Linked DNA regions of Ovis aries. The protein of the gene in region 5 purifies or fractionates together with the protein of the main gene of each other region. This does not show direct contact. Links are inferred from orthologs where the notes say so. Each region holds a gene or a part of one and is shown on either strand. Other genes may lie near its edges.

The links.
Region 1: the proteins of YAF2 (region 5) and L3MBTL2 purify together in Homo sapiens (affinity purification with mass spectrometry; 5 studies listed by BioGRID and IntAct, counting the BioPlex papers as one, with this or other methods). This does not show direct contact. The link is inferred for Ovis aries from reciprocal best matches to the Homo sapiens genes YAF2 and L3MBTL2.
Region 2: the proteins of YAF2 (region 5) and DCAF7 purify together in Homo sapiens (affinity purification with mass spectrometry; 3 studies listed by BioGRID and IntAct, counting the BioPlex papers as one, with this or other methods). This does not show direct contact. The link is inferred for Ovis aries from reciprocal best matches to the Homo sapiens genes YAF2 and DCAF7.
Region 3: the proteins of YAF2 (region 5) and MGA purify together in Homo sapiens (affinity purification with mass spectrometry; 5 studies listed by BioGRID and IntAct, counting the BioPlex papers as one, with this or other methods). This does not show direct contact. The link is inferred for Ovis aries from reciprocal best matches to the Homo sapiens genes YAF2 and MGA.
Region 4: the proteins of YAF2 (region 5) and CSNK2A2 purify together in Homo sapiens (affinity purification with mass spectrometry; 9 studies listed by BioGRID and IntAct, counting the BioPlex papers as one, with this or other methods). This does not show direct contact. The link is inferred for Ovis aries from reciprocal best matches to the Homo sapiens genes YAF2 and CSNK2A2.
Region 6: the proteins of YAF2 (region 5) and TFDP1 purify together in Homo sapiens (affinity purification with mass spectrometry; 3 studies listed by BioGRID and IntAct, counting the BioPlex papers as one, with this or other methods). This does not show direct contact. The link is inferred for Ovis aries from reciprocal best matches to the Homo sapiens genes YAF2 and TFDP1.
Region 7: the proteins of YAF2 (region 5) and E2F6 purify together in Homo sapiens (affinity purification with mass spectrometry; 4 studies listed by BioGRID and IntAct, counting the BioPlex papers as one, with this or other methods). This does not show direct contact. The link is inferred for Ovis aries from reciprocal best matches to the Homo sapiens genes YAF2 and E2F6.

The regions. Positions count from the first base shown.
Region 1 is NC_056056.1:218,193,311-218,197,467, forward strand, and holds the start of L3MBTL2 (lethal(3)malignant brain tumor-like protein 2), read left to right. Parts: upstream 1-1,357; 5' UTR 1,358-1,424; coding exon 1,425-1,448; intron 1,449-3,255; coding exon 3,256-3,496; intron 3,497-4,157. UniProt on the Homo sapiens protein: Putative Polycomb group (PcG) protein. PcG proteins maintain the transcriptionally repressive state of genes, probably via a modification of chromatin, rendering it heritably changed in its expressibility.
Region 2 is NC_056064.1:47,621,860-47,625,359, forward strand, and holds part of DCAF7 (DDB1- and CUL4-associated factor 7), read left to right. Parts: intron 1-546; coding exon 547-664; intron 665-1,887; coding exon 1,888-2,060; 3' UTR 2,061-3,500. UniProt on the Homo sapiens protein: Involved in craniofacial development. Acts upstream of the EDN1 pathway and is required for formation of the upper jaw equivalent, the palatoquadrate. The activity required for EDN1 pathway function differs between the first and second arches.
Region 3 is NC_056060.1:35,312,770-35,316,269, reverse strand, and holds part of MGA (MAX gene-associated protein), read right to left. Parts: intron 3,089-3,500; coding exon 2,146-3,088; intron 1,376-2,145; coding exon 1,297-1,375; intron 1,178-1,296; coding exon 1,082-1,177; intron 1-1,081. UniProt on the Homo sapiens protein: Functions as a dual-specificity transcription factor, regulating the expression of both MAX-network and T-box family target genes. Functions as a repressor or an activator.
Region 4 is NC_056067.1:25,635,747-25,639,952, forward strand, and holds the start of CSNK2A2 (casein kinase II subunit alpha'), read right to left. Parts: upstream 2,801-4,206; 5' UTR 2,468-2,800; coding exon 2,364-2,467; intron 1,596-2,363; coding exon 1,484-1,595; intron 1-1,483.
Region 5 is NC_056056.1:144,742,232-144,746,364, reverse strand, and holds the start of YAF2 (YY1-associated factor 2), read right to left. Parts: upstream 2,801-4,133; 5' UTR 2,659-2,800; coding exon of another isoform or gene 2,613-2,658; coding exon 2,587-2,612; intron 2,156-2,586; exon of another isoform or gene 2,145-2,155; coding exon 2,019-2,144; intron 479-2,018; exon of another isoform or gene 100-478; intron 1-99. Other genes in the region: uncharacterized protein LOC132659532, read left to right, coding at 2,611-2,658, 2,830-3,275. UniProt on the Homo sapiens protein: Binds to MYC and inhibits MYC-mediated transactivation. Also binds to MYCN and enhances MYCN-dependent transcriptional activation. Increases calpain 2-mediated proteolysis of YY1 in vitro.
Region 6 is NC_056063.1:86,051,448-86,055,631, forward strand, and holds the start of TFDP1 (transcription factor Dp-1), read left to right. Parts: upstream 1-1,384; 5' UTR 1,385-1,513; intron 1,514-2,330; exon of another isoform or gene 2,331-2,476; intron 2,477-2,751; exon of another isoform or gene 2,752-2,863; intron 2,864-3,217; 5' UTR 3,218-3,280; coding exon 3,281-3,292; intron 3,293-4,184. UniProt on the Homo sapiens protein: Can stimulate E2F-dependent transcription.
Region 7 is NC_056056.1:20,407,617-20,411,116, reverse strand, and holds part of E2F6 (transcription factor E2F6), read left to right. Parts: coding exon 1-22; intron 23-969; coding exon 970-1,083; intron 1,084-2,513; coding exon 2,514-2,670; intron 2,671-3,138; coding exon 3,139-3,188; 3' UTR 3,189-3,500. UniProt on the Homo sapiens protein: Inhibitor of E2F-dependent transcription. Binds DNA cooperatively with DP proteins through the E2 recognition site, 5'-TTTC[CG]CGC-3'. Has a preference for the 5'-TTTCCCGC-3' E2F recognition site.

The DNA.
Region 1 (4,157 bases), about 73 Mb from region 5:
TATCTAGTGGACCTCAAATTTAGAAATATATTTAACACATGTCAAGGCCTACTTATTATATTTAGATTCTCAATTAAGAGTATAGTATAGCATAGGCAAAGAATTTGGAATAAATCTTGAATTCCAATCAAATGTGATCTTAGAAAGTGTCTAAACCCAAAGGGCCACTGTTTCCTCATTTGTGAAACAGTGACTGATTGTCCCTGATTTAAGATGTTTGTAAAGCTCCATGATAGAATTTCCTTGATGGCTCAGTGGTAAAGAATCGCCTGCCAATGCAAGAAACAGGGTTCTGATCCCTGGTCCGGGAAGATCCCACGTGCTGTGGAGCAATTAAGCCTGTGTGCCACAACTAATGACCTTGTGTCCTAGAGCTGGTACTCTGCACCAGAGAAGCCACGGCAATAAGAAGCCCACGAATTGCAAGGAAGAGTGGCCCCCACCTTACCCCCACCTCTCTGCAACTGAAGTCCACACAGCAAGGAAGACCCAGCACAGACAAATAAATGAATATATATTTTTTTAAAGCTCTACTACAGCACCTAGAACTGTGAGTAAGGACGGTTGTGGGTCCTTAAAGACCGTTGTGGGTCCCAAAAGAATGAGGCAGAGAGCCTCATATCTGAGGTTTATTTCAGGAGATGGTGATGCAAGGTAGAGTGTTGCAGAATTTTAAGCATGTGGGACATTTATACCATTGGACCTAAGAGTGAGTATTCCAGTTTCTGCCTAAACAGGGAACAGTCTCTCTGCTAGGCATCCCCGCACTAGGGCACGTTTAATTTCTCATCAGGGAAAGGGCGAGGTTTTTCCTGGAGGGTGCCTGAACAGTACTTTCTTACGTGAAGTCACTCAGTCGTGTCTGACTCTTTGCGACCCCATGGACTGTAGCATACCAGGCTCCTCCCTCCATGGGATTCTCCAGGCAAGAGTACTGGAGTGGGTTGCCATTTTCCTTCTCTAGGGGATCTGCCCGACCCAGGGATCGAACCCTGGTCTCCTGCATTCCAAGGCAGACGCTTTAACCTTTGAGCCACCAGGGAAGGTTGCTAGTACCTTCTTAGGTACTCAATAATTGTTTAATGAAGAACGGAGTCGGTGTGATAGCAAGAGGTTACCGTGGAGAAACAAGAACTATCCTCCCGGGTCAGGCAGGTCTGGGGCGGGGAAATTTTCACGGCGCCACAGCAACGACCCCCTCCACGCGCAGCCCAAAGGAAACTACAAGTCCCATAAGCACCCGCGGCTTCCCCGCCTCCAGGGGAGGCGGGGCTCAGGCCAGCGCGGAACCGGCTTTACCTCTTTCCTGCAGCGTGATTGGCCTTCGGCCCTGGGAGGCGGCCAATGAGTAAGCTCCGGGAGAGCGGCGAGGCCAATATGGCTTCCTGCACCTGGTGACGGTTGAAGAAACTGTGTTAGGTCTCATGGAGAAGCCCCGGGGCGTCGAGGTGAGAGGGAGAGGACTTCTCGGAAAGGGAACCCCGAGAGCCTCGCTCGGTGGGCCTTTGAGCGACGCCTGGAGGGTGGAGGATGGAAGAATGGATAAACAGGTAGTTAGGCTGAGCAAGGCCAGAGGCGATTGGCATCGCCTTTTGCTCCCGTTCTCCTGGGTCCGAGTGAGGTTGAGGGAAGAACAGCTTCACTGGCCTGGGGGAAGAGGAACTGGGTTCAGGATATGAGAGCTCCTGAATCTTCCTTCTCCCCCTTGTCTCATGGTGGCCTCTTTAGGGACTGTGAGGCCTGTCACATCCTGGTGGGAAGTAAAGGAAGATTAAAGTTTAATAAACACTCCGTATCTGGAGCGTTCTCGTGCGTTATCCCACAGTAACAAGTCCTGTGTTATTGTCTGTTTTTTATGGATCATGCACCTGAGGCTTGGAGAGGGTAGTGCCACTCCCCAGGAGGGCCACGCAGCTGTAAAGTGAAGGAGATGGGCACTAAGTCTGTCAGGTTCCAAAACTCTCCCTGTTTTGCTTTTCCCATTCTTCCCACCACCTGCAACCCATATATCCTTTCATCATTTGGCTTCTGGTTACCTTATATTTGAATGTCCTTTCTGGCACATTTGCATATGTAGTGTAAATATAAAGTGGAATCGCTCACAAACTCTCCGAGAGTCAAGAAGAATCATCATCAGTGTAGAGTGTGAATGATAACTCCCAGTTTCAGAGCTGTCACTGACTGCTGGGAACAGAACTAGGCTTTACATAGCGCCTGGGTGCGCACAGCAGCACTCTAAAGAAGGCTTGTTACAGCCATTGTACTGATGGAGAAACCGAGAGCCCTAAGTAGGAGAGCCCGGATTCCAGCTCCGGCATATCCGATTTGAGTGCCTGTGCTTTTAACCAGTAATGATCACCAGCATTTATTGAGCACTTGCTGTTTGCATGTCACTATTCTGAGTGCCTTTCCCATAGTAACCCTTACTTCTCCCCCAAAGCCTATGAAATAGGTGGAATTGTCCTCATTTACAGATGGGGAAACCGAGGCACTGAGATTGAACTGCTGCAGGTCATATAGTAGGGATGGTTTTGGAGTCTTGGCCTAGAGCCCAAACGCTTCACACCTTTTCTGCTACATGCCACGTAGATTCATATAGAATACCTCATTTCACATTGCACATCTTTTGAACCAATTTTTTTTGTTGTTGTTTTATAGATGAGAAAAATGAGACCCAGACAGGTTAAATAACTTGCCCAAGGACCCACAGCTAGTTAGGATCAAGGCTAGGTCCAAAGCTAGGTATGTCCCACAGTGCTAGTATGTCATTTGCCTCAAATCCTCTTTAGGGCAGTCTGGGCCCCAAATTAACTTTCGTCTGACTTAAATTGTTTTTGAGTTGAAATTACTTTGGTGTATACCTGCTGAAGGGGGAAGAATGAGTTTCTGGAATACATCTTTTCCAGAATGTCTTCACGAAGCACCATGCTTAGTATATTTTCACATCACTCTGTTCTGTGTGAATTGTGGTAAAATGTCGTCATGTATAAATCCGCAGAGGACCCTGGTGAATTCCTAATACATGTTTCTGTCTGGCTAAGGTATTCTTTTGACTTGCAGTTGAGAAAGGTATAAACAAGAGTAATGATCCTGGTGTTTACGAAAGGGGTGTTTGATTGTACCTGCCGCTCGGCCCAGAAGCGTTGACTTGACCAGGACCTGGAAAGGGAGTTGATAGCAGACCTGCAGTTTCCCTTGTCTTACAGTAAGCCAACCACGATTGCTCCTGCCTGCTTTGTGTCATCCTTTTCCTAGGAGACTCCGTCTTCAGAACCGATGGAGGAGGAAGAGGAAGACGATGACCTGGAGCTCTTCGGCGGCTATGACAGCTTCCGGAGTTACAACAGCAGTGTGGGCAGTGAGAGCAGCTCCTATCTTGAGGAGTCAAGTGAAGCAGAACATGAGGATCGGGAAGCAGGGGAGCTGCCCACCTCCCCGCTGCATCTGCTCAGCCCTGGGACGCCCCGGTCCTTGGACGGCAGTGGTTCTGAGCCAGGTGCCTTCAAAGTGTCCCCCAAAGATAGGGAGGTTTCAGAGGCTATGGATGGAGAGGCAGATGTAGGCCAGGTGGGCGGAGCCGTCCAGGTGTAAAGGGCTCTTTGATCTGATGTCTAAGGACCTGTGAGAGAGACAGAGGCACCCCAAGTATCCCCAAGGGTCATTTCAGTCTGATTTCAAGTTGTGATTTCATTCTTTTCTCACAATTAATATTCATTCAGCACATATTAGATGCCGATCATTAACATGGTGGTGCTTTTGCGTTTGTGTAAATAATAATAGTTGGTGGATTTCTAAGCCTGGGTCTTGAGAATATACGACACCTAATGTGATCTGGTTACTCTCTGGGAAGGGACAAGAAATAGCTCGTGAGTCGGAAGTGAGAGGCAAGGAAATACAGAATTAAGTGACCTCCAGGTAAGAGGATGAGGGCAGATAAGAATCCCTGTGAATCATCTGGAAGCCAGTTGGCGTCAGAGGTGTGATGCTTGTACAGCTGCTGGACCTCGGTGTCAGGGCCTCCAGTGTGGGGACTGCCTGTGCAAAGAGGCAGGTTAGATGGTCTGTGATGACACTCCTGTTTCTTGGTCCCTTTACTCTTTAGAAGAGAAGCATCTAATACTCTTTGCCTCTCCATTCATCCTGTCTTCTTTTCCTCT
Region 2 (3,500 bases), on a different chromosome or scaffold from region 5:
AAATCATTCATGCTTCTGGTGCCGAGTAGACAAACAGGCAGTTTTCCCTCTGTCGTCTGGGCAGAGTCTTCCAGCCTTAGTGAATAGACGGGGAAATGGCCGCCGTGTAGCCTGTTGTTTCACAGAAGCAGTCAGTTGTGGGTGCACATGACGCTGTGATGAACTGTGTTTTGAGGAAGCCAGTACCTTTCAGATTCTGCTTTGGGGTTCAGGGGAGAGGGCTCTCATCTGCCCAGCTGAGCAGGCACAGAATTCTGAGTACACCTGATGGCTCATGGTGGATTATTCACATTCGTGTTACCTGCCTGTCCGCCTCCCCTGCAGCCTAGAAGCCCCATGTGGCTTGTGATACAGACTATAAATGGCCCGTGCCTTTGTTTCCTTTTTCCTCAATCTTACAGTTATTTTGGGGACCCCTCTGTCTCTAAGAGTCTGTTAAGTCTACAGATGAGCAAGTTATATGTACACTTTTTTTTTCTCCCCTGTGTAGTATCTTTTTTTTTTTTTTTTCCTGTCACCCACCGGGGTTTCTTGTTCTTTCTGCAGGTGGTGATTCTGGACGTCCGAGTTCCCTGCACGCCTGTCGCCAGGTTAAACAACCACCGAGCATGCGTCAATGGCATTGCGTGGGCCCCACACTCATCCTGCCACATCTGTACTGCAGGTAATTACTGGAGGGGGGTGATGGGAAGGATTACTGGAGGCGGGTGATGGGAAGGGAGGTGGGGGGAGGTTTTCCTCTGGTCTCCTTAGCATCATAATCCTCACTCTATCCCAAGGAAGGTTTGAGAGATTTACAGAGAGTGATGCCACTGAGAACCTCCCTACACTAGCGTAGCTGAAACAGTCTGAACTCCCAGATGATCTTGTACCCTCAGTGATATCAGAGAATCTGTATACTGTCTACATCGTATACAGTTACAGGCTTGTGTTGCCCGCTGTGTGCCCCCAGAATCCTGGCTTGCGCAGGACGTGCATCCAGGAATATGAGAAGAGGGGCAGTCTCCTTGGCTGTAACCTCCGCCCCGCTGCCCCCCGCCCCTGCACTGAGCTCTGGGTACCTTGATGGGCCCTGCAGAACCTGACTGGATCTGCAGCATGGGATGTGTAGTTCCCGTTTCACCATCTGCTAGACCCCAAGAGGACCCCTTAAAAATGTGCTGGCCGTCAGAGTTCTTTTATCATAGAAATAATGTCTGGTATTAAAAATTAAACAACACTGAAACAACGCAGAGGTGTATGAAACAGGAGGGTGAAAGTCATCGTCCCTCCTTCCTTTCCCATTTCCACCTTAGCAGTGTAGTTTGGTGGTTTGGGGCCAATTCAGCATGAATTTGGAAGCATGAAGCTTTTCTTCCTGGGGCCCTCTGCTCATGCCTGTCCATGTTGTTGAAGCGCAGCCAGAGGCCCAGGCCCACCCACTTCCTCTGAGCCTCAGGTTGTGGCCTGCCTTCTTCACTGTGGCCCTCGCTGATGCATGTATGTCCGTAGGATGGGGGAAAATCCCATTAAATTGAATCATCAGAGCGGGATCTTTAATGACTCAGGTACTTTAAGTGGCTGAAGGTGCCATGTGGGGGATCGCATCCCGGCTTTCTTCCCTGATGTCCGCCTCAGAGGAGATGAGGTGTTGGTCTGAGTCCCTCTGCCATCCCCGCTCTGCTGTGGGGAACGGGCCCTGAGATGCAGAGGTGGAGGGCTCTGCCATTCACTGGTGCGGAGCTCTGTGGCGCAGGGCACCTGCCTTAACATTTCCTCATCATTGAAACCTCCCTCCATGGGGTTTGGGTGAGTGAGTCTTTGTAAAGTGTGCCCCCGCCCTGATGCAGGGCTCATGACCCTCACTGCCTGAGTGGTGACTTGCCTGCTGGCTCTCTGTGCCCCCAGCGGATGACCATCAGGCCCTCATCTGGGACATCCAGCAGATGCCCCGGGCCATCGAGGACCCGATCCTGGCCTACACAGCCGAGGGGGAGATCAACAACGTGCAGTGGGCATCGACCCAGCCTGACTGGATTGCCATCTGCTACAACAACTGCCTGGAGATACTCAGAGTGTAGTGTCAGTGGCGTCGTGCCCACACGGCAGGGGCTCGTGTGTCTCCCGCCTCTGCCCCACCCCCAGAGTAAGAAGACGCGCGTTTCCGGTGGCCAGTACGTCTGTCATCGCTTTGCACCCGCTGTTAGCAGAAACTGCTCCAAAGTCCCCGGCCAGCCGCCCACCGCTCGCTGTGCCGGACTCAGCGCAGCGTGGCGCCTCCTCAGCCCAGGGCTGAGTGTTTCGATTTCTCTCTCCTTTCCTCATCTCCTTTGGTTCTGCTATTAAAAATTTCTGTATATCTGTTTGTCAGCCGTCATGTTAATGAGCTCTGTGGGCAGCGGCTGTGTCTGTATTCATCTGTCGCAGATGTCTCTGTCTGCCCAAGACAGCAGTCTGGGTCCTTGTCCATGTGAGCACTTCCTGGGAACAAACACCAGTTTGAAACTGTCTTTCTTCATGTTACCCGTGTCTCTTAACAAATTTCAACTTTGTATATTTTTTAATCTATCGGGCTAATTTTTTAACGAAAAGAATTTTACTCCCTGGCCTCTTCCTTGGTTTTATCGCCCTCCCTGTTGACACCTTCCTCTCTTCCCTCCCTGCCTGGATCTGGCCTCAGGCCCCTGACCCTCCGAGCAGTTTGCCTTCTTGAATCACTGCCTGGGCGGAACATACCTGACTGGGAGTCCCAAACCTCCTCGGTGCTCTGAAGTCGGCCACCTCACACCTTTCCTTGGCCTGGCTCTTGTCGAGGGCATTCTGAGCTCCTGAATAGACATGTGACCCCTGCTCTTACTCCCTCAAGTACATACGCCTGTCCAGCCCCCCAGGACCTACTGAGCTAGCCAGGCTAATGGGGGTGCCCGACTCCCAGGGGACGGTGGCAGGAAGGCTGAGCTTAGAGAATGTTTCCGGTCCACAGTTTAAGAGTCTTGTTTTTCTCTCCAAATATAAGCCCCCAGCCATCCTCTTTCATGTCTTGAACGATAGGCAGGCGTGATGCATCAGCTGAACTTCAGTATCTCTGTTTAGTTCACTGTGACTGGTGGTACGTTGGCCACTCTTCCGCTAGAGAGGAGAGAAAGCCCTCCTTGGCAGGTGCCCAGTCTGAGTGTCCATCCCAAACAAGATCTCCTCTAGGCTGTGGGAGACAGTCAGCTCTTGCAGAGGATGGATTCAGGCTGGGGTCATCCCAGGCCATCAGTTAACCAGAGAGCAAGAGAAGCTTCAGAGACCCAGGGCCAGCCAGTTCAGAGCCCCGCAAACCCATCAGTCGCCCCGCCCCAAGTTTCAGTTCTGAGCAGTATTGGACATGGAGGCGGTGGGTGTCCTTTTCCGTTAGATGAATGAGTTCCAGGGAGGGGTCTTGTGTGTGACTCTGGTGGTAGGCGAGTCCTTGGGCGGGCAGAGTTTGGGACACGCCCAGAGTCGGGGGGGAGTCTGGTTTGCCACGCTCTGCC
Region 3 (3,500 bases), on a different chromosome or scaffold from region 5:
AAAATAGCAGAAATGAAACCAAACAATAAAGGACAGCAAACATTATTACCAGCAAGACTAATATGACATGATTGATTTTCCATTACAATCCACAGTATCCAGTCCTAATTACTTGGATTGAAATTTACATACTTTAACACCATACTGTCACACAGTCTCACATTAAATCAAAAAGTTCAAACATTACCACTGAATTTAGAAACTGAATGGCTGTTTACAAATCAATGCTCTGCTGGTATATAATGCTTAGACTTTCATATAAATGATGTACTATACAATGTGAATCAGCCTAGACAGTCCTTTGAAAATTGACTGTCAAAACTCAAACTACTCCAAGAAGCATACCTAAAAGATATGAGAAAATTAAAAGTTGAGGCATGGTTTACAGTCCTTCTGTTTACAGTGCAAACAGGGAGGAAAGTCAGTAGTTAATTATAATGGCATAGGTATGGTAAATTGTGCTATTCTTTAAAAAAGGATTAAACCATTTAAGCAGGGCCAAGATAAATTATTTCAACAAAATAGGTAATGATGAAAATTTTAAACTACACTCCAAGCAATATAAGAAATATATAAAATGTTTACAGTCACGTATAAGAAATAAGTATTCTCTTTACACAGCTAAATATATTACCAAGTACATAAAAAAAGTAGGGCTTCCCCTCCAAAAACAAAACAAAGGAACCTTCAAAAAACCCCAGAAACAAAAGCAACCAAAATTGCTTTATAAGAAAGAAAAACACCACTTTCTTACCATGATACATTGTTAATGCATAATATATTATGCTTCACCAATGATAGAACAATATCCTCTGAGTCTGAAAAGGTTTCTCTTAGGATACAAAAGACCTAGGCATGCTTTTTAGTTAAGGGAAAGAATCATGAACAGAGAGAACAAAAAAAAAAATGCAAGCTGAGAGAAGGGCTAAAATAAATTAAATCAAAAGAAAGGGGAAAGGAGGAAAACAGAAAAGATTTGGGGAAGGAACAAAGGGAAGAGAGAAAAAAGAGAGGGCAAGAAGAAAAAAGAACAACAACAACAAAAAAAAACAAGGCTTGCATAGTTTTCAGAGAATTATACCTTCTTGAAGACCAGGATGTATGACCTGCTTGTGCCGCAAGGCCTTCAAATCTTCTATCAGTTCCTTTTCCAACTGGGAAATTCTTGCTCTGCAACCTACTCAGAAAACAATGATAAAAATAAGCTGCTATATACTACAGCAGACTACACATTGCTTCTTTCACTTCTAGAACCAAATCCTCCATCTCTCTTTTTTTTTTACTATTATATAATACCTGGGTCATTTGCAGCTGATGCCTGAAGACTACAAGATTCTTCACTTGTTCCATCAACTGCATGAATATCTAGAGCTTCCTGTATTTAAAAAGAAAAAAGGAAAGAAAAAAAGTGGTTCATGTCAGTTCTAAGGATTTAAAAGTAAACCAGGGGCATTTTTTCCATGTTGATACTTTTCACTATTTTCTAAATGTTCTAGATTAACATCACTTTAATAGTGGGGAGAAAGCAAAAAATTTAAATATAATACACTCAGCTACCTGACTTAGAACTGTATTTATGCCCATTTATTGCAATTTGTATACTGATTTCTTCTGCGTGCATGCTAAATTGCTCCAACTGTGTCCGACTCTTTGTGACCCCATGGCTGTAGCCTGCCAGGTTCCTCTGTCCATGGGATTCTCCAGGCAAGAACACTGGAATGAGTTGCCATGACCTCCTCCAGAGGATCTTCCCAACCAAAGGATCGAACCTACGTCTCTTATGTCTCCTGCATCGGCAGATAGGTTCTTTACCACTATCTCCACCTGGGAAGCCCCTGTTTAATTAAGATAGATTACTCAGCAATTAACAAAGAGGGAGGAAAAGAACAGGCAGAGAGAATTCAACCTCTGTGTAGTCAATTTACAAAGACTAGGTTTCTCTAAAAATCTAAAAGAAAAATAATCTAGTTGAAGCGTTGGATTAATACTGCTAACCCAATATTTCAGATACTCCCCTTCCCATGCACACAACCTCATATAATGGATGCATTCACAGTAACTACATTCTAAGATAACTAGCAGCTAGTATACAATTCAATGGTGATTATTTGGCCTTAGAAAGAAAGCTGAAAATGACAATCTTACCTTTGATTCAAAGGAAACAAAGAGAACACCATCTACATCTTCCAGGTCAGGTTTCACATCTGGAAAGGTACTCCCAGGGCCTGTAGGAGTGTTCTTCGTAGAAGTTAAAGATCTTCCTGTGTTTTTAGGCGGCCGCCCTGCCTTAGACAGTTTCAGTTTTCGTGGCCTTCCTCTTTTTCCAGGGACATTTGGAGGGGCATTCTGATTAGCATTCACAGTCCTAGGAGCCGCTGAAATCTTAAGCATAGTTTTCTTTCTGCCCAAGTCCTCTTTTCCTAAAAACGAGTCCTCAACTGAACTCTTTGAACCATCAAGTAGTTTTTCTGTGTTAACAATGTCAGATATATCAGGGTATTTCCACTGAGCTTCTTTAAGTGAGGGATATTTTTGTACTACTCTGATATCTGGTGAATGTCTTCCAAGATCATTTTCTGATTCTCTGCCTAAGCAGAAGCCAGTCTCATTAGAATTTTCAATGTACGCAGGCAAATAGTCTAATTCTGTCAACAGAGAAGATCTATCCTTCCGAGATGTGCAAAGCATGTTGTCAGGGAGCTCAGAAACCTTCACTGTGCTTTTGGTGACAGCACAGGGCTCCAGATAGACTACTGGCATCTTTCCAGCATCTAATTTGAACATTTTCGCTTTAGCAACACCTGATGGGCTATTTGGTTGCCATTTAGAAGATGGATGGTCAGCTTCTAGGTTATCAGCTTTATTGTGCCTTTTCAACTGTTTCTCTAGTATAGGATCATCATCACTGTTTGAGTATACATCTGTTTCCTCATCTGTCTCTTCCTGTTTCACAGTGACCCCTTCTGGGCACTCACCAAGTTCATATTCATAATCATCCAAAGGCTCTTCTTTAATGACAACATTGAAGTTTTCATTTGGGCTTAATGGTGACGTTACATGGGAGCCATCTTCAAAACTGTTGCCAAGGCTGGAGAGAGAGGGTAGGGAGGGTTAAAAAGGACAGAATTATCCATAAATAAGACTCAAGAAGGGAAAGGTAGAAAAAGAGATTGTTGAAAACCAAGTAAAATCACATCAGATTTCAAGAGCCATTCATTAAAAAAAAAAAAAAAACAACAGCACTCTGTATAACATAACAAGCTTCTCAATGGTTTACCAACATCACACTTTTACATATTCCATCAATTTCTCATGAAAAATTTATAAAACAAAGGGTAAAGTTTTAACAAGTAACTCTCATGACTAAATCAAAAAGCAAGATATGTTGTAACAGTTATTTTTCTAATAGTATTCTTCATCGCTTCTCAGCCTTTTGGCTAAGATCAAACCTAACTACTCTTCAAATGAATTCAATTTTGAAAGTTAGCTGGCACTGATAC
Region 4 (4,206 bases), on a different chromosome or scaffold from region 5:
GACATTTTTCTGAAATTGCTTTAGTGTCAGCAGTTCGTCCTTCCAAATGCACAGCAATGGAATGTAGATATTCTTAATTTCAATTTATGTCTTGCTTACTTCCTAGAGAGATTTTAACCAGCTTATAGTAAAAACATTTATGCTAATATACTAAGAAAAAAGCTGTATGGCTTTCCCAGGTGACTTCTCTGAAGAAAGCATCTTTTTAAATATTTATGCTTGTGAAGAAATACAATAACAAAAAAGATGACATGATTCTGTGGGTGCAACTCATATTCAGGGAAGAGGAGAGTCAAAAACTCCACATTTTCAATATCAGTTCCTTACTTCTTACCCCCAGCGTTTCTGACAGCATAAATTAGTAACTTGGCTATTTCTCTCAATCATAATCCTGTCTCTTCATCACTAGGCTAGACTGGTACGGAGTATCAGTAGAGTCACTCATTTTTCTGAAAAGCGATTTTCAGACAGTCCAAGCCTGACCCCTCTTTTTAAACAGGAACACAGCTGCCCTAACTCTACTTAAGATGACAAAAACAGCCTTTCAATCCTATATTCTTATCCACAGAACCTCTCCAAAACGGCTATACTGGAACTCCTGTTTGTGTAAAAGTGCTTATATTAATTAACTCTTTGGTCACCTCAAGATTTCACTAAATGACATGCACACAAATGAAATAATCTGGCAATGATGAATACCCTTCACAGATTCTAAGAACTGTTTTTTAGTCCACCCTGTAAAACATTATCAAAGCTATATAACCAGTTACCTGGAAGAGAATTTAGCCAACTCTTCATACTTAGTAAGATCATGTCTCCATCCAAGAGATGACAAAGTGTGTATCTGCTACAAACTTAGGCTGCTAAACCAGATTCAGGCTGGTTTGTTCTAATCATTATTTTAGTGATTCTAAGCGTACTCTCTACTGCTCCCAACTTCACTTTTACTGGCTGATAAGCAACTATGAACCTCCCTGGCCCTGTTAGCTCACTGTATGTACCCCATCTGAACCATTTAGCACCAAAGGAGAAAAAACAAGCAATTATTCACTGGGGTGTTTCCTTCCACTCAGTCTTCAAACTCCTCTTTGAAGCTACTCTGTTTCCATCTTTCTTTCTGGAATAACAAATTCAGTGCTCAAGGAGCCTTTGTATCAACTGGGCTCTTCATGAAGAGGCTCTTCTTGCATGTGAATACCTATTTAGTTTGTAACAAATGGAGGCTCTTTGGAATATTCACTTTGGGAGCCCATAATTACATTTTAGAACAAGGATGTTCCTGAACTACCATGCTTAGATTTGAAAAAGGTCTGTGTGAAAAAAAAGTTCAAACAAAAACAGCTGTGGGAAGAGTAGCAGAGGGACATGGGGCAGAAGGTTTTTAAAATGAGTTTGTCCTGCTCATTCTAGAATGTGGTTGGAGTAGTTTGTATCCTTCTGACCTGTGAAAAAGAAATTTTAATGCCACTCATAAGACACTCACCTTGAGAATTTTTACCACCACTCTCTCGTTGTTGGTGATGTTAATAGCCTCAAATACTTCACTATACTTTCCTCGACCAAGTTTCCGAACCAGCTGGTAATCATCTTGATTACTGGGAAAGACAAGGAGGACACATAAATGCCAGGACTTGGGGTTAACCAAGGCTATGCCCACTACACATCCTCATCCAGGCGCTTCCACTGATCAAGCACTTGGAAGTGTCTATATACCTCATGCCATAACTTATTCCCTACACGAAAGCCACAACATAAACTTGGCTCTTTTCACTGGACGTAGCTCCTAACCTAACTGGTCCCTCATAACTAGGGGGAGACAAGGTGGGAAGGCAGGCGTCTGAGCCAATCTAGCGAGATGAGCTGAGCATCCATCCTGGAGGCTCACAGGTGCCCCTCTGCCCACAGCACCTGCCTTATTACTTCACTCCCGCAAGGTAGACAGCGCTCGATTTGAGAATCTGGACGTCTTTAAAAAATTTCCTCCCACCCAGCCTCATTTCAAAAACCTCAAAAAGGCAGAGAATTTTAATAGCTCAAGAGGACAGCTGCTGACTTCCCACCCCAACAGAAACCCCAACGCGTGAGAAGGAAGGGCTGCTCCTTCACTTCCACCAGGCTCTGGTCCCTGGATCCCTACACTTGTCAGTAAGAGAGCATTCCCCGAGGTGAGAGGGGTGCGCACCGCTGAGAGGAAGGAACGAGAAGCGGGGAGAGGGAGACGAGAATATGGTGGGGAGGGTCTGCTTCCCACCCCAGAGCCGAAGAGGCGCGGGCCCAGCGGGGAGACAGACCACGGGGGGCGAGTGCGGTTTGCGGCGGGGGTGGGGGTGCGAGGGCCCGGAGGGGGGCTGCGGCGGCTTTACCCCCAGCTCGGGACGTGAGCTTCATAGTCCCAGTATTCGCGGCTCCTCAGGCTGTTCACCTCCGCGTAGACCCGGGCCCTGCTGCCCGCGGCCGGGCCGGGCATGGCGGGCGGGACCGGGGGGCGCCGCGGGGCGCCGAGGGTGGCGGCGCGGCGAGGGGCGCGGGGCGACGGGCAAAGGAGGCGGCGGGCAGCGGGCCGCCGGAGGAGGAGGAGGAGGAGCGCGGCGGCGGGCGGCCGCGCCAGGCCGGGCCCGCGGGGGCGGGCGGGCTGGGGGGCGCGGGGGGCGCCGGCCGAGCCGGCCCGGCCCTGGAGCGGCCGGCGGGGCGGCGGGGCGGGCAGCGCTCGCGCTCCGCGGCGGCCTCCGCTCGGCTCGCGGCTCCGAGGCGGCGGCGCTGTCGGCGGCACCAGCAGCGGCAGCCGCCGGCCGGGAAAGGGTCAGCGACGGCGGCGGCGGCGGCGAAGAAGGAGGAGGAGGAGGAGGAGGAAACCCGGAAAAGGGGCCGCACTCACTAGGAGCGGCCGCCGCCCGGCCCGGGTCCGCCCAGGCTCACAGCGCCCCCTGCAGCGCGGGGGGACCCTCCCGGCGGCCCCGCCCCGCCCCGGCCCCGCCCCTCAAGGCCGACTTCCAATCTCTCTCTCCTGGGTCTGGCCCGCCGCGCTCACCACAGGGTCGTCCCCAGCTGCAGGCTGTGGCCCTGGAGCCTTGTGCCTCGTATACCGTTTTAGGACTCCCCTAGAGACCCCTGCCCCAAACGCTCTGCCCTCTAGTCATCCAGAGTTTACCCACCCCAACCTCCCGGATGGACCCTGTTGTGATCTTTTTGTCACCCAAACTGTTCCCAACAAGTCCCTTCCTAATGACTTGCTCTTAGCTCTCAGAACCGCTCCGTCATAAGATTTCCCCTTCCTTCCCAGAGACACGCCGTCTTCCCCTCAATGGACCGTGACCGGTCACCCATAGACCCTTGAACTTCAAGACTTGCCCGTCTCTCTCATGTATCACCTTCCTCATAAAACCCTTCTCATACACTATCCCCAAAATTCCCTTCCAGAACCTTCCCTAAGACCCCTCTGTATGTTCACATCGGACACTTGGTTTAGCTGGAGTCAGCCAGGTTGCTGGCTGTAAAGCTCCTATTTTTCCCTCCATAATTAATAAGCGATACTTTGAGATCATGTAAATACTCTGGTTTTGTTTGGGACCACACCAGGAGACGAATTGTGAGAGTTCTGCCTGTAGGGTTGGGCTGGGGGTTGGGCATGGACTGAGGGTGGGGTGGCCAACCAAACCTTGGCCTATTTTATTATCTTGCTTTCTAGCCCTGAACATTCTTCTCTCTATGATCTTCTGGGCCTTTTGTCTTGCTTTCCCATCCCACTTTTTTTTTTTTTTTTTAATCAACACAACTTCCTCGCACAGCCCAGTTTGTTCTAATCTTTTTTTCATATTCTATTCTCTAGATGAGACTGTTTCCTCTTTTTTTGATATGGTTAAGAGCACAGACAGTGGAGTCAGATTCATCCCAGGTTTGAATCCCAGCCCTGCTACTTACAAGCTCTGTGACCTTGGGCCAACAACTTAACCTCTCTGTGCTGTAGATTTTACAGCATAAAAACTGTAATGGCATCTACTTCATAGGGCTATGGGGAAAATTAGACAAGTTAAACCGTGTAAGGCAATGTCACAGAACGCTCAAACTACCGCACAATTGCACTCATCTCACATGTTAGCAAAGTAATGCTCAAAATTCTCCAAGCCAGGCTTCAGCAATACATGAACTGTGAACTTCCTGATGTTCAAGCTGGTTTTAGAAAAGGCAGAGGAACCAGAGATCAAATTG
Region 5 (4,133 bases):
GAGCTCTTAGGTTTAACTTAGGGCCAAAATCAAAAGAGAAGAGACAAATTCAGAGAGAGGAAGGAAGCAGCTGAGAGGGTCGTAGTGTAGAACACTTACTTTTAGGAACAGAGTGTCCCTTAGACTTCTGGTGAGTTGCCCAGAGCCTCTTCAGTTTCAATCCAAATGACAATGCTTCTCTGAGTCCTTCTCAAGAAATGTTTCCACCACTAAAAATTGGATCTATAAGAGCTCAGATGTACTGGTAAAAAATGTCAGGGGCCCCCAACGTGGGCCTCAAACCTCTTTTAAACTAGGCCCACTTCTCTGTCCTGGGCCAACTCCCCTGTGCACTATATTCCTTCTTCTTCCAGGTGCCAGGTATTCGGCCTGTTTCTTCTCTTCTGAGCTGCCACCACCTACTCTATTTCTCAGGGTTCCTCTAACCCCAAGACTGGCTGTGGAGTAGGACACCAGCTTCCCCCCTTCCTTGCTGTCCCTGCAAATAAACATATAGGCTCTTCTAGTTTCAGTATTTTTCTAATGGCTACAAGAACATAGAGAGGGAACAACAAAAAGCAACAATACCGTACCAGAAGTTAAGATTATAACTATCTCCACATTAAAGTTCCTGCCTTTTCTTAACATTGTTTATTGAGCATTTTAAAAAGTACAAAGTACTACATTGATAAACAAATATAATGTAAACCAAATCAAACCTTATATAAACTAAAAGATATAAAGATACTTTGCTTTTCAAAATACTTAAATCACGGGTCCAAAAATAGCTACCACATTCATTTCAGCAAATGGTGCTTTTTCCTTTTCCGTATGTTCTATTACATTCCCTTGAATTTAGCAGTTGTTCGAAAGTTTGCTTTTTAAAAGATATCAGGAAAATATTTAATTTATTGAATCTAATAAGACTATACAAACAGCATATTATGGTTTACAAAAAGACAGGTATGTCAAAAGCAGCTAGCTTCAATAAGCAAATCTTAAAATTTTAAGTTTTTTATAACCATTTATGTCTCTACATTTAAAATTTAATTAGAATCAAGATATCTCCTCGTTTTTAGAATCATAACTTCTACTGAATATATTCCCCTAAGGTTAATATCATATAGCCTTTTCAAAAGCAACAGTATATTGCATTTGTATACTCGTGATAATTCATTTTCCAAGAAACTTTAATCAAAAATATATGCCCTCTAAATATCAGGCCACAAATCATAGCAACTAAGTGCTGGCAGTTCAAGAATGTCACTGACTTTGAATCTCCTGAATGATCTTCTTTATCCACTTAATACACTTAAGTGGTTTTTTAAAAGACTGTTATCATACTGTAAGCTGACAATGAAATAAAGACTGAAAATAGGCAGAGATCATTTTATCTCATTTGTATAGTAAAATAGATTGCCATTTAATCAAACTAAAGATATTCAGATACTTTCAGGAAAAAAACGTGTCCCTGTGACTGGGCTCACCTCCAACTATTTATAAAACATTAGAGAACTGAGATTTAAAACACTACACAAATCCCTGATTTGACCTTTCCAGAGTCTATATTAAAAAAGGAAGCTTAATCTATTGTGTATTCTCTAATCAGATACTTTTTTTGAGGAACGAAATTAAATTACATCGTTTGCTTCTAAAGAGGTTTTCATGATATTTCTCTGATTCCTACACACTAACACAACAATGCAGCCAACGTTATTTCATCCACAAAATGTGGTGCGGATGAGGGGGTGGGGGTGGCATTACATCCAGCGACACAAATTAATCGCGGTCGAGCTAATGCCTCCCTTAAATAATTTATTCTCTCTTGGCAGCAAAAAACATTACAGCCTCTTCAATTACCCTCACCGCAAAGCTCGGGTCGTGATCAATCTGACCCAGTTCCTATCGCGGCCACCACCTCAGTCTCGCCTCGGCCAGCCGGGTCTGCCAGTATCCTGGGAGGGGGCGGCGGCCGCAGGGTCGTCCTCGGCGCCGGGACCCCGGGGGCTGGCGGCGCGCGGGGCAGGCCCGGGACTCACCGAGTGGAGGTGCCCTTCCGCACATCGCACATCATGCACTTGAAGGCCTCTGCGCTGTTCCGGAAGGTGCAGACGCTACAGTCCCAGTAACCCTCATCCGAGGACGGCTTCGGCTGCCGCTTCGGCCTGCAGGACATAACCCGGACACGGCGCGGCGCGGGGTCACCAGCGGGCCGCGCCCGGGCCCCGCAGCCGCCCCCGCCCCGCCCCCAGCCCCAGTGCCGCGACCCCCGCCCCGCCGGTCCCCGGCGCGCCAGGCTCCCGCTCGGAGGGGGAGGGGAGTCAGGAAGGCGGGGGCGCGAGCGCGGCCGCAGCAGGAGCCGCCGCCGCTGGACACCCGGGGCCGCTGCTGGACACCCAGGGCCGCTGGACACCCGGAGCCGCCGCCATCGCGGCTCCATTGTGGGGCGGCCGGCGCCGGCCCCTCACGCGGCAGCGCTCGCACAGCGGCGGCACCGCCCCCGTTCTCGCCCCGCTGCCCCGGCGGCGAGCGTGGCGGCCGCCCGAAGCCCGGCGCAAGGGCCCCGCCGCCTGCACAGTCCAGGCCCGGGGGCCCGGGCGCTGTTACCTGGTGGGGCTCTTCTTGTCTCCCATGACTTGGCTACAAACGCACGCCGAGAGTCGCCGCCGCAGCCGCTCTGTTTGTCAATAAGGAGGATAATAAGCCGGGCGGAAGCGGGCGGGGGAGGAGGGAGGGAGGGGGTGGGGAAGGCCGCGCCGCCGAGCTCCGGAGCCGCCGCCGGATCCCACGCAGCCTCCAGCTGTCGGGGAAACTCCTGCCTGGGCCACGTGACCCGCGCCAGCCAACCAGCAGCCGCGCCGGAGACTTCAAACGCGGCCAGCGCGGCCCAGCACTCGCGGGGAGTTCGCTGACGGCGGCGTGGGGGTGGCCGCCGCAGCCTCCAACGCCGTCGCCGCCTCTCTGCCCCGAGCCGCCCGCTTCCCTTGGGCGTCCCCCGAGCCTCTCTGTCAGGGTTATCTTCTGCCATCCCGCCCGAAGCCTGGGCCAAGGTGGGCCGGCTTTCGGAGGTCAGCTCGGCTCCGGACCAGAGTGCGCGGCCGCGGTCTCCAGGTAGAACCGCTCTCCGGGCCTGGCGCGTCCGCCCCAGCCCGAAGGATCCCCGGGGGCAGGCGGGAGGCACCAGTGAGCGCCATTGCTAGGTGCTTTAAGCCACTTGGTTTTGTGCACGCGAATGCTCTACCAAGTAAGGATTGTTGCCCTTATTCCGGAGGAAAAGAAACTGAGGCTCGGGAGAGGTTAGGTGATTTCCTCTATATTACATAATTAGAAAAGGATAAAGCTAGGACTCTAACCCTGGTTTAATTGCAGATGCGCTCTTCTCGACTCCCAGGCTTCTACAGTAACTGGTTCAAAAAAAACAATGAAGAAAACACTCATAAGACCTTTTTTCTTCTTTTTAAATAACGAGCTTGCATATGCCGTGAACGTTGTTAAGGAAAGAACACTTTCAGAGAGTGGGATGAATGGAGAGAGTAGCATGGAAACATACGCACTAACATCTGTAAAATAGAGAGCCAGTGGGAATTTGCTGTATGACTCAGGGAACTCAAACCGGGGGTCTGTGACAACCCAGGAGGGTGGGGTAGGTGGAGTGGGAGGAGAGAGGGAGGCTCAAGAAGGAGGGGACATATGTATACCTATGGCAGATCCATGTTGATGTAGGGCAGAAACCAACACAATATTGTAATTATCCTTCAATTAAAAATTAAAAAAAAAAAAAAAACAAAACACTGTCCTCCCAGGTCTGATTACCTCAGCCTACTGGATGCCCTCCTGGACTCTGGCAGTTGCCATCCAACTCGTCTCTCAGCTCCAGCCCCACCTCCTCAACCTATTCAGTAATTCACAACCAGATTAATAATAAAATTCTGGTAACATTCTGTCACCTCGCTGATTAAGAACTTTGCTTAGGCTCTCAGACTTGGCCTAATTAAAATAATTTTTTTTAAAAAAAACACACTCTTTAGCACTATGTGCTGGCACTTTGTAAATCTCTTTACACAAATTTGTGTTTTAAAGGTCTGGAAATTTACACATTTGTACTATGCAAATGTTCTCATCAACTGGCCTAACTACATTTGAAAGACAAGGAA
Region 6 (4,184 bases), on a different chromosome or scaffold from region 5:
AGTCTCTGGCCCCTTCCCCGCTCCATCTCCCCACCTCTTGATGTCACCATTGCATGGTCACCCAAGAAGGTGGAAAACAGAGAAGAGACCCGTCATGGAGGAGGGAGCCGAAGACAAGTTGGATATTTAAGACTTCGAATTCAGATTTTCAAGGGATTAGAAAACTTTCTCTCTCTTCAAAGGAGAGTTTAACGGGGGTGGGGGTAAGGCTTTGTATCAGGCCCACAAAGAAAGGGGGCGCAGTGACAGGCGGGCGTTCTCCTGGGAAGCCCGGGTCAGCCTTCTAACGGAACACGGAGCAGCACCATCTCCCCGTGCTGTCCCGGAAGACACAGTGACGGTGCAGCCCCAGGGAGGAGGAGCAAGTGGACACTGGTGGAAGGCTCTCTAAGACCGCAACTTCTGGCACACTCCCCAGAGCAGGCAGGACTGACGGACACACGCGTGGGGTCATCACCCGCCTAGGTCACGTCTCTGCCAGCCTAGGGGTTTCAAGGCGAGATGTGGCCAAAAACATTTGGATCTTCAACCAAAATTACGTTGTCACCTTTCAACAGAGGTACAGGCGTTCTGTAGGGTAACTGACTATAAAGGCAGAGGTTCCGAGAAAGCCAGAGGTTTGTTTCAATGCTGCGGCAGCGCTAGCGAGCTCAGAGTGTTTCACGAGTGATTTCTGTGCAGAAATGATTTTGAATATGAGAGCTAGTTATCCCCTGTAAATACTGGTCAATGACTGGACTCTCGAATCTGTGGGGAGAGGACTCGGGTTCGGACTCTGATCCTGTGTTTCTCCTCTCTCCAAGCACCCAGCCCTCACCCAGAGGCTTGTCCGTCTGTGCACCTGAGCCCCAGGGAGCGGCTTCTGGCTGCCACATGGGGGTGAAGACTCCAACACAGTGAGAAAGACGGAATTTCTTGGAAAGAGCAGTGGGGTGAGGAACACAGACTTTCTGAGAAACAGAACGGGGTGGGAGGTGCAGGCACCACAGCCCTCCCAGTGGGGAGCTATGCATGTTTCTCCACAGGGAGGCAGAGGTGTCCAGCCTGCAGGGACAGAGGACGGTCCCTCCGAAGCCTTTTACTCCCCACTCCTCCCGCCGGGTCTTCATCACCCCTGTTGCTCTAAGTGTAGAAAGCATACCGATCAGCAGGAAGAATGGGAAGATTCCTGCTTTTCAAGAAACCAACGCTAATTAAGGGTAAGAGTTCAAGACTGGAGTGGCTTGCCAGAGAAGCAGGTTGAAAGTGGTTAAACTGTGGAACCGTCCCAGGCAGCGTGTAAGGCGATAGCTCAAGTCCTCTGTGCCCCATGAACTCTGGACTCGGCCCCCACGCCCCGCCTGCCCTGGCTGGGCTGATGGTGAACCGCCGGGGGCAAGTCTCCAGGGTCAGACTCCACTCAGCCCAGGCCACCTGGTGATAAGGAGCAGGCCGGCACCCTTCCGTCCAGAAGACTCAGAGCCTGGGCAGAGGCCGGGCGTGGGCGTGGAGACCTCGGGCTGGGCAGGAACAGGTGAGCACTCGGCGGACAGGGCACTGCGCGTGCACACGCTGTCACCTCCGAGCATCTGCACGAGCACACACCCGACCTCCTCTTCCTGTGCACACACATGCACCCGCTCAAACACGCCTGCGGGCACAACTCCAGCCTGCCTTGCTCCTCCAAGAGCACACTCACTGTGCGCTACTCGAGCCCGCTCCCCCGAGTGCGCACATCTGCACGCGCGCGCGCACACACACACTTCTGGCCTCTGTGCACACTCTCGCATCCATCCGCTACTACTGGCTGTGCACACACGCACGCGCACCCCCATCCCTGGCCCCGTGTGTGTACACACTCATCTCCACACCTTCCACTGGTTCCCAAGTGCCGACGGAGTGCGCACACACCCCCAGCCCGTGACGCCCAGGAGCATGCACGTCCACACACACCAGGCCTCGGTCCCCGTGTGCGCACAGGTGCACACGTCCCAGTTCCTATCCCCAGGGTGCACACACACGCACGCGCACCCCCATCCCTGTGCCCCGTGTGCGCACGTGTGCACACATCCCTGACTCAGCTCCCCCGCACGCGCACCGCGGAGTCCCGGGCCAGGCCCTCCTCTCCATCCGCAGCCGGCGCGCGCGCACACGCGGGCACGCGCGCACACGCGGGCACGCGCCGGAGCAGCTCATCTCCTCCAAGCGCGGGCCGCCCGGCGGGAGGAGAGTGGGGGGCGGGGGGGGGGAGGAGGAGGAGGAGGAGGAGGAGGAGGAGGGCGCCGAAGGCGCGAAAAGGCGCGCAGGCGCGCTGCGGGAGCCGGGCCGCCGCCCACGTCACCGCGCCGCGCACGTCACGCCGCCCGACGCTCGCAGGGTGAGCCCCGCGCCCGGCGCCTCGGCAGGGCAGGGACCCCGGCCGAGCGCCGCCGGGCCCGCCGCCCCCCGCCCGCCGCCCGCGGCTGCGCGCCCGCCGCCCGCGCCGCCCGCCCGCCAGGTGCGGCGGGCCGGGGTCCCCAGGGGCGCGCGCCGGGCGCCCGGCCGCGCCGCCCCCGCCCCGCGCCGCGTGCGCCCCGGGCCCCCCGCGCGCCGGGCCCGCCGCCGGGGCGCCCCGGTGACCCCCGCGGGGGGCGCGGGCCGGGGCGCGGGCGGGGCCTGCGCGCAGCCTCCGGGCGGAGCGGCGCGCGCGCCGGGCGGGGGTCGGGGCGGGGCGGGCGCGCGGGGCCGGGGGCCGAGGACGGGGCGCGGGCCCCACCTGCCCGCCGGCTGCCGGCCGCGGCGCGCGGGGGGCGCTCGCGGGAGGCGGCCGCGGCCTAGCGCCAGGCCGGAGGCCGCGGCCCCGGACGCCCACCTGTCAGAGTTACCGGTCGGCCGGTGGTCGCGGGTGGGCCCCGGGGGCGTCCGCGGGGAGCGCGTGCGCGCGGGGCCGCTCCGGGTGGGGTGGGGGGGGGGCATCGGGCCGCGGTGCCAGGCTGGTCCACGCCGGGTCTTTGTGCGCCTCGGGGAGGCCGGCGGGCAGCCGGGTTGTGGACGCTTCCCTGCCTGAGATGACTTTAGAGTGCCCGGGCGGGGGGCGTTTCTGGGCCGCCCCCCGCACCCCCCGCCCCGGGACGGAGCGAGGGCTTGGAGAGGAAGGGACTCCTGCCGCTTAGATGGGTGGTGATGCTGAGGGGACGGTGGCGGTGTCAGCTTCTCGTTTCAGCCTGGCTCATGACTCCCCTCTCCTTCTTTTTACCAGGAAAACCATTTTTCTTTTCTGGAGGGTGACCGTTACTAGCATCGATTTCACGGAACTGGTAACATGGCAAAAGATGTGAGTACGTGTGTCTGCTTTGTGCTGGACCGATGTTTGCCCAGCACTGCGTTCTCGGTCACTCCCCACCTTGTTTCAGAATGACCACACATAAACTGCGGGCCTGTCGGTGTTCAGACCTTTCCAGCAAAGAGACACAGTAAAGGTGAGGAGGCGGGGACAGCCGGTGGCGCTGCGCGCGGCCTGAGCCATGCTGGCCTCTGCCTGGGCCACGCAGGCCTGAGCGGTGGAGGCTGTGTCTCGAGGCTGGCCGCCGCCGGCCCCTGGGTCTCTTGGAGGCTGGTTGGAGGCTGGCCGACGCCACGCTCCTGGGTCTCTTGGAGGCTGCGTCTCGAGGCTGGCCGCCGCCGGCTCCTGGGTCTCTTGGAGGCTGGTTGGAGGCTGGCCGACGCCACGCTCCTGGGTCTCTTGGAGGCTGCGTCTCGAGGCTGGCCGCCGCCGGCTCCTGGGTCTCTTGGAGGCTGGTTGGAGGCTGGCCGCCGCCGGCCCCTGGGTCTCTTGGAGGCTGGTTGGAGGCTGGCCGCCGCCGGCCCCTGGGTCTCTTGGAGGCTGGTTGGAGGCTGGCCGCCGCCGGCCCCTGGGTCTCTTGGAGGCTGGTTGGAGGCTGGCCGCCGCCACGCTCCTGGGTCTCTTGGAGGCTGGCTGACTTGTGAATCAGCCAGGGCTCTGTGAGAGGACCCCCTGCCTGTGGAGGCGCGGGGCTGGCGAGCCTCCCTGAGCAGCTGCTTTGTGTGCCCCCCGGGAGTTAGTTCAGCTTCCACCCATGAAGACGCTCAGCACTGGACTTGGCAACTGTTTTTCTCAGAAAAAAATGAAATGTGATAAACAGAATGTGAACAATTCTGCTTTGTTTACATTTGTTGTGAACCCATAGAACATCGTGAGTAAACTT
Region 7 (3,500 bases), about 120 Mb from region 5:
AGATGACAAAGAAAATGAAAGATATCCTTTAATCTGTACCCTAAAAAAAAATCTCCCAAAGCAATTACCTTAAATAGTAGGCTCAGCTTGGAAATTTAGTTAATATATTTAAGATACAAAACCAGACCTTTTGAAGTGAATGAACTGCTATAGAAATCATACTGAAACTGCCTTTCCAGTCCACCAGGCCTGACGCAGTTGGATGGTCATGCTCTTCAGTTTAGTGTCTCTGGGACCAAAGGGGGAGATTGTCTTTGATTCTGATCTCTCCCCTAGTCTCCTAGACAGTTTTGCTGCCGTGTTCCCCATGCAGCACCTTTCTGAGGTGTCACCGATACTGAGCTAGTCCACGTTTCAAATTTACTGAGGTTCTACACCAGTCAAAAACTCCTGTTTCCACAATACAGTTATTGGAAGGAAAGTAAATGCTGTCACTGGACTCAGTCAAAAAGGTCTGTGGAGTTAAAAAAAAAAAATGCTGGGGAAACCCTTTAAATCAGGTAAATGGTAAAATTTCAAGCAATACAATAAAATGAGAAAAATTCAGGTAGCAAGATGGAAAATAGTTTGGGATGAGAGCACTCCCATGAGTACGTGATAGTCCTGAAAAACTGGTTCTAAGTTGTTTCTACTACTAACAGATTCTTTCTCCCTTACATTTTAGGAGATTCTCATCAAAACACTTTTTTTCCCCTAGAGGTTCTCATAAGATGTAACAATGATAGGGAAAAGTACAAGGAGGTTTGAATACCTTCGTGTGGTGTCTTTGTTTTAAACACCCAGACTTTATTACTATTTTTTCTCCAGAAAGTGTCATCACTATCACAGTAGTATAAAAGAATTCTTTTGAGTTATATTGTAAAACACTTCATGAAATCCTAAGGATCGTTGATGAAATAGTAAGAATTACATATGAAATTATTTTTTAATCTCCACCCTCTGTTTAGAGACCCTTAACTGATTTTTACACTAGCATATGTGACGTATCAAGACATTCACAGCATCCAAGCCTTCTATGAACAGATTGTAATTGCAGTTAAAGCGCCGGCAGAAACCAGATTGGATGTTCCAGCTCCCAAAGAGGTAGGTAGCCCTGCTTTTGTGTGTGTGTGTGTGCATGCGCGCACCTACGTGCATGCGTGTTTGTGTGTGTGTGCATGTGCTTAGTTGCTCAAGTCACGTCTGACTCTTTGCCACCTATGGACTTTAGCCCACCAAGCTCTTCTGTACGTGGGGATTCTCCAAGCAAGAATTCTCCACCCCACCCCACCCCCCACTCCCGTTCTTAAGAAGGTTTAAAGGGAAACGGGCTTCCCTGGTGGCTCAGCAGTAAAGAATCCACCTACGGTGCAGGAGATGCGGGTTCAGTCCCTGTGTTGGGAAGATCCCCTGGAGAAGAAAATGGCAACCCACTCCAGTGTTCTTGCTGGAAAGTCCCATGGACGGAGGAGCCTGGTGGACTGCAGTCCATGGGTCACAGAGAATTGGACACAACTGTGTGACTAAACAACAACAAAGGCAGGCAAGCCAGCTGCGGCAGCTGTGCGTTGTTGCAGTCCCAGTAACTTAATAACTAGTGTGCATGTTAGCTGCATCCCTGATCCACAGCTCAAGGCTCTTCACCCATTTTAATGTGTTTAATGTGTTTTGAGTAACAGAAACTCAGTAGTCATGATTATTGTCCTCTTACAGATGAGAAATCTAAAGCACAGAATGATAAACTTTCTTACCATCATACAGTAAGTGAGAGAAACAGAATTCAAACCCAGACAGTTTGGTTTCAGAGTCTGTTCTTAGCCATCGTACTATCATGGGCTCTTAGAGGAATCACCAAGAATTGGCCTCAGTGTTAAGATCCAGTGTCAAACAGGGCTCTGGGGAATTAGCTCACTAGCCAAACTCATAAAAGACTCAACAGAGAAAGGAGGACTCTAAGTTAAACATTTAAAATGAAAAGTAAAATTAATGTGTGTGGAAATACTGTCCACTGCTTACAGGAAAGTTTGTGTTGAAAGATACTCGTTGAAGATGCGTGTTCAGGGTGGAATCAGAATCAAGGAGTGAGACCATTCTTAGGACAGATGGAGTGCTGAAGGCCTGATAGACTGAAGTCGTGCTGAAGTACTGAAGTTGTGTCTTCTTCTTTGCAATAGGGGACTTAACCTCCCTCAGTGAAGCAGCTCCTACCCACCTTCCCTTTTATCCCCAGAAGACCACAGTGCACGTGAGACCCTAGCTGTTAACTGGACAGTGTATGACAGACAGTTAAGGAGCACCTTTTGTTTATTCCAGTCACACTCAAGTTGTGACTTCGAAGTGATACTTCCTAGTGAGTGCTTCCTGTGGTTCAGTCTAAGCAAGTACATGATATTCTCAAATATATGACAGCAAAGAAACTACCTGGATGAGAATTTCCAAAAGTGTCCCTTGAAACTTTAACAGTTCTAATAAGTGAAAAAATGTAATTCATGAATCCTCTCATTCATCTTAATGCTTTCTGTGTCTTTTGCTAGGATTCTATCACAGTACATATCAGGAGCACCAAAGGACCCATTGATGTTTATTTATGTGAAGTGGAGCAGGGTTCCCACTCAAGTAATAAAACTTCGGACAGTGTAGGGACCTCTTCATCCAAAAGCAAGCCTTTGGAGCACCCTCAACCTGAGAAAGGTAAACAGGCCGATTTAAAACGATTTTTTAAATGTGTATAGTTTTACAAATGAATATTGTGAATATGAAAATTAATAATATAAAATGAATATTATGGCCTTAGAGGTATTTTTACTCTTCCTAGCTACAAAAACATGAGTTAAAAATTATGCTATAGTTGCTTACTGCTTCTAACAACCCTGTTGTTAAATCCCATGTAATTTTAATATCCGTGAAAAGTTAGAATGGTTGGTTTTGGAGTGTGGTCTCTGTAGAGCAGGCTGTCTGATCCTCTGACCCAGGCCCTCAGGCTCATGCTTGAGTCCTGGTTTATTATTCTTGTGAGACTGGAAACATTAGCCTTATGCCACTCACGTAAGAATATGGTTCTTGACTGAGGTCTTCCTATTTTATCTCGAAAGTTCTCTTAGCTGCCTGCCTTTGAGACCATCATTTAGGAAGATTTCTCCCGTGTTTGTTATCTTTCAGAAGAAAATCTTCCACAGCAAAGTGAAGAAGTGCTTGAAGTGAGCAACTGATGGTGTTTGAGGGTCCATGTGTTGAGTCTCTTGGACTCCTGTGTGGACGAAGATCCTCAGAGCAATAAATCATCCCTGCCATTTTCTCATGCTTGGTAGCCGCAAGAAGGCCAGGAATGCCTCCAAGCACTTTGCTGCTTAGATTTCTGGATAATGGCGGTTTCTGCATTTGAAAGCAGCTCTTTTTATAATTATTCACTGCTTTTTTGCCAGTGAAGCGGTCATCTTGCCTACTGAAATTACTGAATCACACAACTGTGAAACAGACAGGCAGGCAGGGTAGACAGCTCCTCGTGGACTCTGCCCTTTGCC